2 linked regions of the Pelodiscus sinensis genome follow. The protein of the gene in region 1 interacts with the protein of each later gene in a biochemical or structural test. Links are inferred from orthologs where the notes say so. Each region holds a gene or a part of one and is shown in the gene's direction. Other genes may lie near its edges. The genes, in order: SCN8A and FGF14.

Evidence for each region.
Region 2: the proteins of SCN8A (region 1) and FGF14 form a complex in vitro, tested with the Homo sapiens proteins (2 studies listed by BioGRID). The link is inferred for Pelodiscus sinensis from reciprocal best matches to the Homo sapiens genes SCN8A and FGF14.

Annotation. Positions count from the first base shown.
Region 1 is NC_134729.1:5,870,712-5,879,102, reverse strand, and holds the start of SCN8A (sodium channel protein type 8 subunit alpha), read left to right. Parts: upstream 1-4,944; 5' UTR 4,945-5,077; intron 5,078-8,391. UniProt on the Homo sapiens protein: Pore-forming subunit of a voltage-gated sodium channel complex assuming opened or closed conformations in response to the voltage difference across membranes and through which sodium ions selectively pass along their electrochemical gradient.
Region 2 is NC_134711.1:246,526,492-246,534,250, forward strand, and holds the start of FGF14 (fibroblast growth factor 14), read left to right. Parts: upstream 1-4,479; 5' UTR 4,480-6,108; coding exon 6,109-6,301; intron 6,302-7,759. UniProt on the Homo sapiens protein: Probably involved in nervous system development and function.

The DNA of each region.
Region 1 (8,391 bases):
AATGTTGCAAACAGCTGATTCACAGCATTCCATCTCTGGAAGGGAAGGGGAGGAGTGGGGACAGAGCGTGAATCAGGTGATTTGCGTGCTCTGAAAATGCTGAGGTGCAGGAGAGGCACATGGAGAAGGGGGCAGCCAGGGGTTCGGTGGGCTGAAGGTGGTGTCCCAGTGCACCACGTGTGTCCTGTGGGCCACAAGTTGCCCACAACTGACATACATATATAATCTGGGAAAAGGGATAGACAGTGAGGCGGCAACGTTTGCAGAGGATTCAAAATTACTTAAGATAGTTAGTTCCAAAGCAGACTTTGAAGCTCTACAAAGGGACAAAGGGATCTCACATAACTAGGCAACAAAATGGCAAATGAAATTCCTTGTTGATAAATGCAAAGTAATGCCCATTGGAAAACATAATTGTAACTATATATACAAGAAGATGAGGTCTAAAATGGCTGTTTCCTCTCAATAAAAAGTGTCCTCATGGCTAGTTCTCTGAAAGCATCTGTTCAATGTGCAGCAGCAGTCAAACACGCTAAAAAATATAGGAACCACTAGGAAAGGGATGGATAATAAGGCAGACAATATGATGTCACTATGTAAAGCCAGTGTACACCCACACTTTTAAAATTATGCGCAGTTAAAAAAAATTCTAAAAAGATATATTAGAACTGGGAAAAGTATGTGGAGGCACAAAAATGCTTAGGGGGATGGAGCAAATTCCATCTGAAGGGAGATTAACAAGACTGGGGCTGTTCACCTTAAAAATGAAACAAGTAAGGGCAAATATAATAGAGGTCTGTAAATTCATGAGTAGAATAAAAGTAATAAAGAAGAGTTATTTATCTCTTCTCATACACACATGGACTAGGGGGTCACCCAATAAAATTAATAGAAAGCAGGTTTAAAACAAACATCGGGAAGTACTTCTTCAGGCAACATAGCCTGCGAAACTGGTAGCTGGGGATGTAGTTAAGGCTACATAAATAACTGGGTTTTAAAAAACAATTAGATACGTTCATGGAGGATTGGCCTGCTAATGGCTATTAGCTAAGATGTTCAGGGATACAACCTCGTGCTCCGGGTGACTCTAGCCCTGTGACTGACAGAAGCTGGAACTGGATGACAGGGAATGGATTACTTGATAAGTTGCCCTGTGTGACGTAGTGGGGGTACTTGCTGGGCTGTGGTGACCTCTGCTGTCTGGAGCAAGACCCATCAGGGAAAACCTTATTATGCAAAGGTACCATACCGGTTGAACCAGCCTACCCCCCATGGGGAGAAACAAAGGGAGGTGGAAGGCTGCCCTGGCTGGGGGCAGGGCTGGGAGAGGTAGAGTTAGTTCCTGTCTGGAAAGCAGGGGAGAAGGAGCTGGGGAGGGGGGCTGGGACTCCCCCATCTCAAGGGGGGGCACTGAGGCCTCTTAGCCCCAGTTCCTGTAACCAGATTACATCTGTGCTGTGCTGTATCCTGGAGGAGCAATAAACCATCCTCAATTCCACTGGCTGGTGGAGTCTGTTTGTGCCATTTCGGGGTGCAGGAGACGGGGGACCCCCAACGCGCCGTCACACCCTGTTCTGTTCATTCCCTCTGAACCATCTGGGACGAGCCACTGTCAGGAGACAAGATGGACCATTGATCTGATCCAATATGCCCATTCTTATGCAGAGTCCATTGTTCCAGGGATTGTAGCTATTTCAAAAATATTGTATAGATTGCCATTGTAATTGTATAGATTACTCTCTGACTCATTTTTACTCCTGGATCTTCTTACCAGGAGACACAGCCAGACCAAGTTTACCCTGCCACAGAGCCAATGAGTGATAATTAGAGCCCAGAAGTGCTAAACATTGCTAACACTCCTGAACTCTACTAGGAATTGTAGGTGTTCAGCAACTCTCAGGTTCAGGCTCTTCATTCACACCAGAGAGAAGCCAGATTGTGCATGGATATAAAAAAAATGCTTCCAAAAGTTTGGGTTTAGGGAGATGGACCATCTCTTGAGTGTCTAAAAATACTTCAGAAGTGGCTACTGACTTTGGGTGCCCACCATGAGTCACCTTTAAAAGGAGTCCGTTTTTTTCAGATGTTAAGGACACCCTTAATGTCTGATGTTGGACATCTGCCACTTCCATAGATGGTTCTAGCATGTCTAAAATTGGGCACCTAAATTAGTGATTTCTTTTGGGCACTTTAAATTGGCCTGCACTTGTTGCCTTACTGAAGATGCAAAACTGGTTGTAGACTCATATAATGTAACACACGGGGTAAAATTTTGGAAAACACCTACATGACTTAGATATCTATCCACGATTGAGGGACTAGCTAGACTCCTAAGTCATGCTGGCACTATGAAAATGTTATCCATTAAGCACTGTTGATGTCAATGGGACTTATCAGATGCTTAAAATAGAGGATGTGTCATAATTAAACTTGAAATCAGGTGAAACTTGTCTGTTTTTGCTATGGAAATTTACATTTTGGCAAAAGTTCAAGAAACTTTCAGGCAGGTGTTGGGATTGTATGCAGTTTCAGGGGTCTGCCCACCTGGGTCCAATTAGAGGATCAGGGCTTTGGTCAAAGTTTCTGCAATCTCACTGTTTCCAAATAGATACTGGAGATTTATTTGTATTTTCCCTAATACCTTTCAACTCCAAAACTTTTTGGATCAAATCCAGAGATGAGGTGTAAGGACTTGTCTATACACACAATTTGTATCACTTTAACTATTCTGGAATAAAGAGGCTGTGGTTGTCTCCATATATAGATGCTTTTATACCAGTGTAGCTGTTTCTGTGGGGGTTTGAGAATAAGCTCTAGCAACATAAGGTGTCTTTGTACCTCTATGATTGTACCCACACTAGGGAGCTGCATTGGTATATGTAACACCTAATCGACACAAGCCTCCCCCATCGATTTAAGATACACAATTTCTGCTACACTATTCAGTGTACTTAATGCAGTACTTCCATGTGGTAAGGTCCGCGGCTGATGCTCTCCTGTCAACTCGGACTACTTTTCTCATCCTGGTGGATGGAGTACAGGAGTCAACAGGCTTAGAGGTCAATTTATCGCATCTATGCAGACACAATAAATCGACTGCCAATGGATCAATCGCTGCAGTGTAGATCCACTGTATAATGAAGACAAGCCCTATGTCAGTAAAAAAAAAATTAAAATAAAAAAAATCACAGCTCAAACCAAAATAGTTATATTAATACAAAAACTGTGTAGACCAGGCCTTGCACTTGGAGAACTTAAGGCCAATTTATAGACTCTTGCTGATGTGGACTAAGTCTTTGTTTCTGCATGCACAAGCTGGACTTTTTAAAAGTGCACAATTTTTAAACTGATTTAGTTGAAGTGGTGCAAACACACTTAAATTGGGTTACAACTGGCATATATCAATGTAGCTTAGTTCAGTGAGTTACAGACAAGCTAAATCACTACATATACATTATTCTCCAATCCAATGTTACTCTCCATGTGGTCTTTGCTGGGTCTGCATCTGATTCAGACTAAACTGCTTGCAGGGATGTCTCTTCTATGTTTTGTGGAGTCATTGGGCCAAATTCTGCTCCGTGACACAGTAGTAGATTGGAAACCAATCTAGTGGCTTGAGTGATGTTAGTCCCAATTTACACCATTCTATCTGAAAGCAAAGGTTTGCCCAATGATGTGGACCAAGATGGAATTCTAGGATATTATATAGGAATTATTGAGCTCAGTTCCCACCTTTGCCACTTTTGCCCTCGGCGGACTTGGCATATCACTTCATGTCACTAAAATGGGGATAATAATGCCTACCTTAGAGGTTGGTTGGATTTGCGATGGTTAATTAGCACATTATTTGGATAGCACTTTGATACCATAAGGTGATATGACAGAATTATTGGTTCTCTTTGGTCAACGCCTACCACTTGGCTGACTCTCAGTGGTAAGTTCTACACTTGAAGCTCAACCTTGGTTCATTGGTATGAATGAATGCCAGTGAGTTGAAAGCAGACTCCTTTGTGAAACCAAAATGATTTAATTCTGCCCAGAGCTGTCCTAGCCTGGCTGAGGGTGCTATGGTATGTTCCCAGTCAACGAGTGTATTTGGACCTCGGGGGAACTGAACTTAAGGGCTGGTGACCAGGAGAAAGAGCAGACGCATTATTGTTACAGCTTGTTTCAGAGCTGGGGCCCTCACACTTGTTTCCATTCTGTGGACTCTGCGGGTACGTCTCTACAGAAGTGTTATTTTGGAATAACTGACATTCTGAAATAACAGAGCATGTCCACACTGCGAGCCATTATTTCAAAATCACGCCGAGCTGGAGGACTTCTTACTCCGACTCCTGTAACCCTCATTGAACAGGAGTAAGGAGAGTGGAAGGAAGAACACTCTTTATTTGACTTCCTGCTGTGGAGACAGGGCCAAAAGCTGAATTAAGCTATTTCGACTTAGCTATGCAATTGAAGTCGCTGTAGCTGAAGTTGCTTAGCTTACTTTGAGTTTTGCTCTGCTGTGTGGACATGCCCTGTGAGACACTCTCTTCCCACCAGGGCCCTCCCTGACCCTTGGCTTCACTGTCCCCTATTCCTCTCTAGATAGATTCCCTCTGGGCCCCTACATCTACCAAGGAATTTATCTCCCTCTGCTTAAGTGATCCACCAGCTACCCAAGGACCCAGTGCTATGCACATCCAGGGAACCATCCCACCATCAGAGCAGGGAACCCCTACTTGGTGGGGGATTTTCCTTGGAGAAGAGAGGGTTCCCCTTACCCTCCCCATCCCTTGGAATCCCGAGTCCTCCCTCCCCTCCCAGTTCTGAGCCGCTGGATGGAGACATGGTCCCTGCCTGGGCAGATAAGGGGAGAGGGGGTGGGGATAGAGGCGAGTGCAGAGATTTTTGACACGCTCCCTAACCATTCTGCTGAGAGTCATCAATTATGCAAGGGAACTGCACGCTGCACTGGGGGGAAGGCAAGGGAGGCAGCGCACTAAGATGGCGACAACCGCAGTTTCTCCTGCAGCTTCCCCACCTCCGCAGTCCAGCAACGCCTTGCGGGAGTCACGCTAGTTCAGCAGCCACAGTAAGTTGCAGCCCCCGCCCGGGACCCTTGCGAGGCGCGCAGGTTGCGCGGAGGGGCTTCCAAACCCCTGCCCCCATTTGCTTTTTTTTTTTGTGCACCCCCTTCCCCCCCTCCCTCCAGGCGGGGGTTTTGCCGCAGAGCGATTTCCAAGCACCGACAGCTCCTTGCGTGCATGTGGGCCAGTTCCTCTCCTGCCTCCCCACCCGGGGTGCCAGGGTACCCCGCCTGCCCCAAATCGGTCTGGCCCAGCAGCAGCAACCTCTCGGCTGCTTTGGGGCGCACAGGGCCGCTTGCCAGCTGCTCGTGGGGCTTCCCCTTCCCCCCAGGTGGGGGTAGTTCCCTGCACCCCCTTGCACTGGTGAGCTAGGGCTTCTGGCCGGCGGCGGTTCTATTCCCTACTTGCAGCAGCCTGGCATCCTAGCCGCCACCGGGGCGCCTAGGGCTGCGGGCTAGCTCCTTTCCCTCCCCCAGCTGGGAGAAGCGGGGCCTCGGTTCCCCAGTGCCCGCTGCAGCCTGGCTACCTGTCTGCCCTGGGGGAGGGCGAGGGCGGCCTGTCAGCCAGCCCCTGGCCGGGGCGCCTCTCCTGCAGCTGCGACAGCCCCCGCTCCAGCAGCCGGCGAGCTGGTGCATTCCCCCACCCAGTCCGCCCACCCTCAGTCCTGCCAGCGGTCTGGGCTTCATCTAGGCCCCTTCTCGGCGCCCGTCCCCCTAATTTGGGGGGGGCTGTCCCTAGCCCGCCCCCAGCCCGGACCCCCCGCTCACGTCTGGGCTCTTCCCAACCCCCTGGCTGCGGGGCTGGGCTACCCCTTTAGCGCTCCCCCCACACTCCAGCCGCCTGAGCCCCCCTCCGGCCGGGGGGCCAAGTGGAGCAGGGGGAGACGCGGAGGAGGAGGAGGGGGGGGGCTGGCGGTTTGGACCCGAGAGGGGTCTTGGTGTCCCAGCTCCTGTCTTGGGGCCCTCTAGTGCGCGGAGCTTCCTGAGGAGGGGGCGCGGGGCTTTCAAGCCGGGGAGGGGGGGGGGGTTGTTTGGTGCATGTTTGTAAAGACAGGGCGTCACCCCCCCCATCCAAATGACACCAGCCGCGGTGGGGGTGGGCAAGCGGGAAGCTGCAGCTCCAGGCGAGTGGCGGAGGCTTGGGGGTAAAACAGGGAGTTGGGGCCCGGTGCTGCACCTCTCTGGAGCGCTCCCTCCAGGGGTTTGGGGGAGAGGCTCCGGGCGTGGGAGGTTTCGACCCCACTGCCCCTCCAGACGCAGGGCGGGCGCTGCAACCCCCAGGTATCGCACTGCCAAGGAGCAGTTCGTGGGGGGGGGGGCCTTATTTGGGAGACCGGGGGCCTATTTCCCCCGGCCGCTGACTCCTACCCTGCTTCGGGTAACACTGCAGCTGGGAACGCGTGACCCACACGCCCTGCACTTTCCTCGGGGAAAAGGATTTGGTTGGAGGAAGGAGGAGCCAGGTCCCTATGCCCAGCTACCGGTAGGATATTTTGGGGGAGGGGAAGGGCAGAAAGTATTACACGTTGTCTGTGTCTTCCCCACAGCCCTCTTAAGACTTGATCATTCGGATATCAGTACCGGGAGTGTGCTGGGGTGGGGGAAGGCGGTGTTACATGTGTGTGTTTCCTGTGCTGTGGGATGCAAGCTCGTGTGAAAACGAATTAAAGTGCTACATTGTCCTGCATTTTGCTCCAAGGTCTAGGACATGTTGTTGAACTTGGGTGTGCGTGATGCTAAGCAACAGATGATGATTGCAGCCTTATTTTACTTCCTTGGTGGCTGTTGTGGGGGTTTGATTTCCCCTTTGCTAATGAATGGTTATTATGTATAAAATAGCCTTAAAGCATATTTCCCTTCCCTCTTGCCACATGGGCTGAGGCGAAGTGGTCCCTTGTTTGTTGTGGGCGTCAGGTGTGTGGTGCTGAAATGGACAGTTCCCTGGGAACGGTAAAGGGTTAGTGACTGTCTAACAGTGTATTTGTATAATCTGGGTTTGTACTTGGGCCTAGTTACTGATCACGAATTCATACTGCTTTAGGTTTTTCTCCTTCTCTGAGGCTGGTAGAAACTGCCCATAGTGACATGATTCTACCAGGAGGTCTTATCTAGAATGTAAGAAAGGCCATACTGGGTCAGGCCAATGATCTGTCTAGGCCAGTATCCTGTCTCCAGATGCTTCAGTGGGAATGAACAGAACTGGCAATGATGGAGTGATCCATTCCTGTCTTCCATTGCCAGCTTCTGTCAGTCAAAGACATAGGGTCTTCCTGAAGGTTAGGTTGTGTCCTGGATTATTTTGGCTAATTGCCATTGATGGGCATTTCCTCCATGAACCTATCTGCTCATTTTTTTGAAACCAGTTATATCTGTGGTCTCACTACATCCCCTGGCAATGAGTTCATTGTGTGAAGAAGTTCTTCTTTATGTTTGTTTGGCTATTAATTTCATGGGGTGGCTTCTGGTTCACGTGTTATGGGAAAAGGTAAATAATATTTCCGTATTTATTTTTTCCCCACACTATTCATGATTTCATAGACCTCTATCATATCTCTCCTTAATTGTTTCTTTTTTTAAAGATGAACAGTCCCAGTCTTTTTAAAATCCCCCTAGGTTGCTTCATTCCTCTAATAATTTTTATTGCCCTTTTCTGTACTTTTCTCAGTTCTAATACATCTTTTTCAAGTTGGGGTAACCAGAACCTTGCATAGTATTCAAGATGTGGGCATATCAGGGTTTAATACAGTGGCATCCCTTTCCCAGTGGTTCCTAACTATGACTTAAAAAAAAACCATTTTTGACTGCTGCTGCTGCATATAAAGCAGGTATTTTCAAAGAACTATCCATTATTACTCCAAGCTCTCTGTTATAGACCCCATCTTTTCTATGGGGTAGTTGTAATTATTTTTTCAGTGTGCATTACTTTGCATTTATCAACATTGAACTTCATTTGCCCAGTCATCCAGTTTTATGAGATCCTTTTCTAACAGTCAGTTTTAGATTTACCTATCTTGAGTAATTTTGAATCCTTTGCATACTTTTCCACCTCCTGATATATCCCTTTTCCAAGATCTTTTATACATATGTTGAATCTCTGGGTTATATGGATGTTCAGGCCTTATCTGCCTCTTTCCACTGTGAAAAATGACCATTTATTCCTAACTTCTGTTTCCTGTCTTTTGATAAATTATTAATCCATGACAGGATCTGCCTTCTTGTCCCATAAGTCCTTACTTTGCTTATGAGGATTTGATGAGTCTTTCTCAAAGTCTTTCTGAAGGTCCAAATATATTATATCCACTGGATCACCCTTATTTATC
Region 2 (7,759 bases), on another chromosome or scaffold:
TCCTAGGTGACAGCAAGGCGGCCAAGAGGAAAAGTGGAGATGCCGGTGCACTGACCTCCCCTGGTTTGGGACCAGTCAGGTCCTGAAGGTGGAGGATCAGGGAGGTTCAACCTGTACAACAAAGAATACAAAATGTACTGTGCTCACTTCATATTATTGTATTACAAATATTTGCACTATAAAAATGATAAATTGAAAAATGCCATTTCTTCTGTTTGTCTCATTCAAGTACTGTAGTGCAATCTCTTTATTACGAAAACACAACTTACAAATGTAGATTTGTTTGTTACATAACTGCACTCAAAAGCAAAACAGTATAACACTTTAGAGCCTATAAGTCCACCCGAACCTACTTCTTGTTCAGCCAATTACTAAGAGAAACAAGTTTGTTTACATTTACAGGAGATAATGCTGCTTGGTTCTTATTTACAATTTCACTTGAAAGTGAGAACTGGTGTTTACATGGCATTTTTGTAGCTGTCACTGCAAGATATTTATGTGCTAGATATGCTAAATGTTCGAATGCCCTTTCATGCTTTGGCCACCATTTCTGAGGACATACTTCCATGCTGATGATGCTTGATTAAAAAAATGTGTTAAGTAAATTTGTGATTGAATTCCTTGGGGGAAAATAGTAAGTCTTCTGCTCTGTGTTTTCTCACATTCTGCCATATATGTCATGTTATAACAGTCTTAGATGATGGCCCAGCACATGTTATTTCTTTGAACACCTTCACTGCAATTTGGCAAAACACAAAGAAGGTACCAATGTGAGATTTCCAAAGATAGTTACAGAAATGAACCCCAGCTTTAAGAATCTTAAGTGCCAGAGAGTGTGGAGCATGCTTTCAAAAGTCTTAAAAGAGCAACATTCTGATGTGGAAACTATAGAACCCAAACCACCAAAAAAGAAAATCAACCCTCTGCTGGTGGCATCTGACTCAGATGAGGAAAACGAACATGGTTCAGTCTGCACTGCTTTGGTCCTTATCTAGTAGAGCCCATCATCAGCATAAACGCATATCCTCTGGGATGGTGGTTGAACCATGAAAGGACACATGAATCTTTAGCACATTTGGCACACAAAAAAGCTTGCAATGTTGGCTACAACAGTGCCATGTGAATGCCTATTTTTATTTTCAGGTGACATTGTGGACAAGAAGTGGGCAGCATTATCCCCTGCAAATGTAAACAAACTTGTTTGTCTGAGGCAATGTCTGTACTGCAGACTTTTTTCGGAAGAACCTTTTTTCGGAAGAGAGCTTCCAAAAAAGCTTCTTTCAAAAGAGAGCATCCACACTGCCAAAGCGCATCGAAAAAACAATCTGCTTTTTCAAAAGATAGTGTCCAGACTGAATGGACGCTATCTTGCATGTAAGCTATGATTACTATGGATGATTACTATGGATAGCCACCAGGGCACCTGTGCTTTTTCCTCTTTCCCCTTCTTCTGAAAGAACTCCCTCTTCCTAGTCCACACACACCTTTTTCCGAAAGAGCTCTTTTGGAAAAAGGCTTCTTCCTCGTAGAAAAAGGATTACCAACACCGGAAAAAACCCTCTGTTCTTTCGATTTACTTTAGAAAGAACGTGATTGCTGTGTGGACATAACTCAGGTTTAGTCAGAAAAATGGGCATTTTTTCCGACAAAACTCTGTATTGTAGACATACCCTGAGTGATTGCCTGAAAAAGAAATAGGACAGAGTGGACCTGTAGGCTCTAAAATTTTACACTGTCTTATTTTAGAATGCAGTTATTTTTGTATATAATTCTACATTTGTAAGTTCAAGTTCCATGATAAAGAGAATGCACTACAATACTTGTATCAAGTGAATGAAAATGCTATTTCTTTTATTTTTACAATGTAAATATTTATAATAAATACAAAGTGTGCACTGGATACTTTGTATTCTGTGTTGTAACAGAAATCAATATATTTGAAAATGTGAAAAAAATCAAAATATATGTATACAAATGGTATTCTATTATTGCATAAGAGCATTGTTAATTGCACAATTAAGCATGATTAATTTGTAATCACTTAACAGGCCTATTTACAGTTATTTATTTCTTTTTACCTGAAATGCCAATGAAAGGCAATATGGAATCTACATACATTTATATCAAAGGTTTCTTGTTTGACAAAGTGTTTTGTTAATATATGGAAAGAAAAATGTTAATTAGCATATGTTTGTTACTTTATCCACTAGCAGTTTGGTCATTTAAAAGGAATACATTAGCATTAAGTTAATCTTTGAAATAATTAACAATTAAATAAATGACATTGTTTATTTACATAGCCAGCTGCATCTAGCTCAAATGAATTTGATTTGAGACATATTTATCAGTACTTTAATTCCGTTTTTTAGAATTTTACCTAGATTTTAAACATTTTGAGTGTGAATTTGCAACACTCATAAAAATACATAATGTAGAGATTTTCCATTTTTTTTATGTTTTAGAAATGTGCCTAGCAAAACAGCAAATTAGTAGTTAGAAATGAGAAGAGGGAAAACCAGAAAATATTGAAAAGCCTAGTGCTCCTTCAATCCCCTTGATGGGTTTAGATATCCACACTTTTCTTAATCTGAAAGAAAATAGGGAGGTTTTAATGCAGCAAATTTTTTCTCCTAAACACAATGTAATTACTGGACCTTGGGCAAACTGATGTGTCTATACTTCCATAGGTCTGTTAGCAAAACCTTCACTCTGACTAAAATAACACACTTTTTATCATAGGTTAAGACAGCAGAGGGCTCCCTTGAGTTTTCTTTGGTATATCTAAAGCTGTAAACAACTATTCTGCATTTCTGAGAAGCAAGCAGAAAGCTTTTATGTTTGATCTCTGGAGTAGGAAACACCGTCCCTTTCCCACCTTACAGCAAAAACCCTCAGATTTACAGTGGCAAACTGAGTTAACTTTACATGTTTGTGGTGAAGCTCTGTTTAGAGGAGATTAGATAAAGTGAGCACTGATTGTCGATTATTTATCAATGAGTGTTTTAGAACGATCCTTTAAGGGAGTATGGCGTTGTTGAGGCAAACCGCGTGGCTAAATCACAAGGCAACGCTATAACAAACAAAGCTAGATCGCGGTGGGGGTGGGGGTTCTTGCTTCGCTCCCCCCCCCCCCCTTTGTCTGAAATACCCGCATAAACAACCACGACCCCTTTCTTAAGGACTCCTTTCTTTTTGTTCTGGTACTTCCAAAGCAAGGGAAATGTCCCACCTTTAAAATGCTGAAGTTCACCACAGAGGTTTCATTGTCCTGTCGCAGTAGGAGGACGGATCCAGTTAGAAGACAGTATGGACTAAACCCTCAGTCTTTTTAAAGTGTGAGGAAGGGAAGTAGTTTTAAACACAGTCTATTATACAACGCGAAAACACGACATCAAATACAATCAAATTTAAAACTCCTCTGATTGTATTAATTAGGGTAACTGTAGCAATTGTATGGAAATTGCCGCACGGTTGAAATCGCCAGACAGAAAATCCAATCTGAATGCTTTTTAGCTGAATCTGTTTAGAACCACTTTCAAATAAAATTGAATTAAAACGTATTATCCAGATCTAATTGAGCGTGTACTCCTCCGAGTTGATCTAGGTTTAACATGAAATGTGTGTAAAGGAGATGCTTCCATAAGCTTTTGCCCTCGATGTGAAAATAGTTCTTTGTAGATTAAAGGATTTAGGGAAATAATGGTCGAAACTGGAGCAACTGAACTATCCGTTCAAATAACAGCATGTTGAGCTTTGTATTGCGAAATGGTATATTTTGCAAGGAAGTGTTTAAGCTTCAAAACATGGTATTGGAAAGAGCTGGCTTTTGAGCTGAATACACCTAAAGGGAAAATAGGGCAGTTTGAAAGCGGGACCAGTACAATAACAAGTTTTAAAGCCTGTCTAATGGGGGAGATATACACACAAGGAGACGACCGCTGCACGAAACCTATTAATTATGTACATAGAACAGTAATTGTAAAGTTTGACCACTATCAGAGACAGATCGACCAAAACCAAATTGATAGACCCGAGAGGGGGGTCCAAAAGCCATGCTTACAGAAAATAGGCTAATAAGGAAAAGTCCTGTGGCACCTTCCTAACACGTTTATTGGCGCACAAACTTTGGTGGGCAAAGACCCACTTTTGCCCACGAAAACTTATGCTCCAATAAATCTGTTAGTCTGTAAGGTGCCAAAGGATTTCTGGTTGTTTATGCAGATTCAGACCCCTCTGATTCTAGGCTAATCAGGATTGTGAAACCTATTGTGTCAAATGTATTGGTAAACTCCTTGGGGGAGACCATATGGATTTTCTATACCTGGTACATATTGCCAGTGCCCAATAGAGAACACATCCATATTTTATCAAACACAACAATAACAGCAATCCATAATTGCCCATTAGAGGGCGATCAATAAATCTACCGCCCACGTAGAGATGTTTGTAGGCGCAGCACAGGATACATTCAGTGGTTATAAAGCCCTGTAGACTAGCTGGTTTATCTTCTCGTTTAAAAGTATATTGGTTGTCTTGTTTCTCTGTAAGACAAAGAGTGTGTATCGGTTTTAGCTGGAAGGTTCCCTGGGCTGCGTAGGCGTGTTTCCTTCTAACCAGCTCTTAATCATACGCAGGAGGAGTGATTTTTTGAACAGAGGGAATCGGCTTGCCTAGCAACCTTTTCCAGGTTGTGTAAGTCTGAAGAATATTTGGGCTTTCACTTCCGAACTCCCAGTAGTGAGAGAAAAGGGTCCTACGCCCGGGTGTGTCCTGGGAGCCATAAATGTGTGTCCCAGAGTAGAAAGCCCCTCTCTCTCCTTCCCTCCCTAAGCGGCTGGGGATTCATTTACCCAAAGCAGCTGTGTGTCCAATACAGAAGGAAGGGCTGGGGGGAAGGTGATGTTATTGCTGAGGCTGAGCGCCGTGTGTTTACACGGGACTCTGACTTCTCTTTCGTTCCCTTGCATCCCACCCCAACTTCCCCGCCTTTGGCTAGGCTGCTGGAGAGCCACCCGGGGAAGTAGGGGGTCGGGATTGCCTGAGTGCCTGGCCGCTATTCGCTGTCATCCTGCTCCCTAGCCGCTTCGCAGTGGCAGGATCGGCTGTTACCGCTCCGTTCGCTGGGGCTTCTCTCCGAATTATCGCGTTCACACTGTGCCTGTGCCGTGCGAGGCGCGAACGGGTCCTTTTATAGCGCGTTCTTTCGCCTCCCTCTCCCCCGGCTCCCCCGCCCTCGCGGTGTCACCATTGAAAAATGACGAGCCTGCCTCCAGAAGGGAGATCCCCGCAACTTTGAGCGGGCTGGGCGGAGTGGAGGAGCCGAGGCTCCCGGCTCCAGCCGGCCGGCTTGGGACCGCGTGTGGGGGAGTGTGTGCAAGGGGGATAGGGGCTCGCGCGCGCGCGCGGGAGAGAGCGAGCCAGACCCAGCCACCCCTGGGGCTTTGGTAGCGCCTGGGATTAGCCGGCTGCCTCGCCCTCCCTCCAACCAGAGCGGAGAGTTTGTGGAGGGCGCGCCGCGCATTGCAATCAGGGAACCCCAGCGGGGAGCAGAGGCGGCTGCCGCTGCATGGGGACCCGTTAGAAACGAGCAATTCCCCCTCCCCAAAAAATAGCCCCGGCCCTCTCTTATCACCCACCGCCCCCCCCCCCTGTTATTTTTCTCTGCTGCTGCTTTCCCGGCTGGAGGGAGCCGCGGCGGAGCGGCTGCGATCGCAGCTCTCCCGCCGGAGCAGGCGATGGCTCTCTCCAGATGCTGATTGCTCAAGCACTTGGCGGACACCGGGCAGGAGGCGCGGGCAGGAGGCGGCTGTAGCAGCGGCGGCAGCTGCAATGGGAGTCGGCTGCTGAGGGGCGGCCGGGGGAAGGTGCCTGCCGCCTGCCCCGAGCCGGAGCCGCCGGAGCCCGGGCAGGTGGCACCCGCGGCGGGGGGCCCATGCGGTGACAGCGCCGGGCCGCGGGTGCCCCCTGGGTGCAGTTGCGGCCGGAGGAGGGTCCCACTTGTCCCTGGCGCTCGGGGAATGGGGCCCCGCCGCGGCTGAGCCCCAGCGCCCGCCGAGCCCTTGAACTCCGCTGCAGTGAGCCGCGAGCCGGCTGCCGGGAGCAGCCACCATGGCCGCGGCCATCGCCAGCGGCTTGATCCGCCAGAAGCGGCAGGCGAGGGAGCAGCACTGGGACCGGCCCTCGGCCAGCAGGAGGCGGAGCAGCCCCAGCAAGAACCGGGGGCTCTGCAACGGCAACCTGGTGGATATTTTCTCCAAGGTCCGCATCTTCGGGCTCAAGAAGCGAAGGTTGCGGCGCCAAGGTGTGTTTGTGAGTCCGCCCCTTGTCTCTGTCTGTCTGCCCTTCCCCCAGGAGCCGGGAGTGGGGACAACCTGTAGCGAGCCACCGCCAGGCCAGCAGCCGGGCAAGTTACACGCGGCAAACTCTGCTGGACTGGCGGCTAATGCCATCTCCCACCTAGTACCTGCCCCAGCCCTGAGCTCCGGGCACTGATGTTCCCTCGCTAACTACGGGGTACGCTGCCCGATGGGGCTGGGTAGAAAATACACACGGATCGGTACACATTAGCTCGAGGGGCTCGCAGAGCCAACAGATCGTAAAAGCGGTGGCACAGTGTTATCTGTACATGCTGTTGGTCGGGGAAGTTACTTACTCACAGAATACACCTCCTCAATAATGTAATGCACTATGCCATATCTACCACTTTCCCTGGGTGTTAGCTTTAGTAAACAGAGTCCAGTGGTATCCCTCAAAGGGGCTTTAGGTGTGGTGTCCTCTTCCCTGCACTAGTTGCCTCATCCTGTAATGCAAAGTCTTTTGTATTTCGCTCCCATTCACAAAGCGCTTTACAGGCAGCACTGAGAAAGACGAGCAGCAGTTCAGATGTATGTTAATGCCCTGTATTATCCAGGATGTAATTTATATAGAAAGCAAGGTTTCCTCAAATGCTAGTCTAGTCAGAAGAATAAAGCAACGCCTACAATTGATAGATCCCCTGTTTAAAAAAAACATGAGCGCCTTAGAGATTTAGTTTTTAAAAGGCAAAGAAGGATAAAAACAATCGTTTAATTGAGGAGAGGATAGAATTAAGTGCATTACGTGATATTGATAACGAATGGCTACATAATAAGGGCTCTAATACCCACAACCTATTAATGTTTTTTTAAAGGACGAATAGTACATGTTCAGCTTCTACATGTTCGGTGTCTGACAAAGCAACCTCAGCGAACTATCGCGGATCATTCGTTTCTTTATGCTGTGTGCTCATTTTACATACACTACAAGCGTTCTGTTCTAGACTCCCATTCTTAACAGTAAAGGATCATAATTTTAATGTCCGTAATATGAAAGTAGGAAGTGCATCATGCACTTGTTTAAGGTCCATGAGGGATATTATCACGTACTGTGTATACTCGTGTGTGTGTGTGTGTGTGTAATATACACATACACACACATATATCAATAAAAGTTAGGGCCTATATTATAATGGATAAAATTTGTGGATTATTATAATTTTTTCCTGTAGGTTTCAGAATAGTCAATAAACAGAGGTCTTCAGAATTACACTACTAGCATGATTGTTATTTCCCCCAATGCTTTGTATTAAAATCTTGTACACAAAAGGATAAACCCATATACAAAACATGAATATTTACCATGTTTCTTAATTTTATTGCCCAATTAAAGAGTTATTATACCCTTTAAAATGCAGGGATATTTGATAAAGGAGGCAGATTTTAAATAAACATATTCAAAAGCA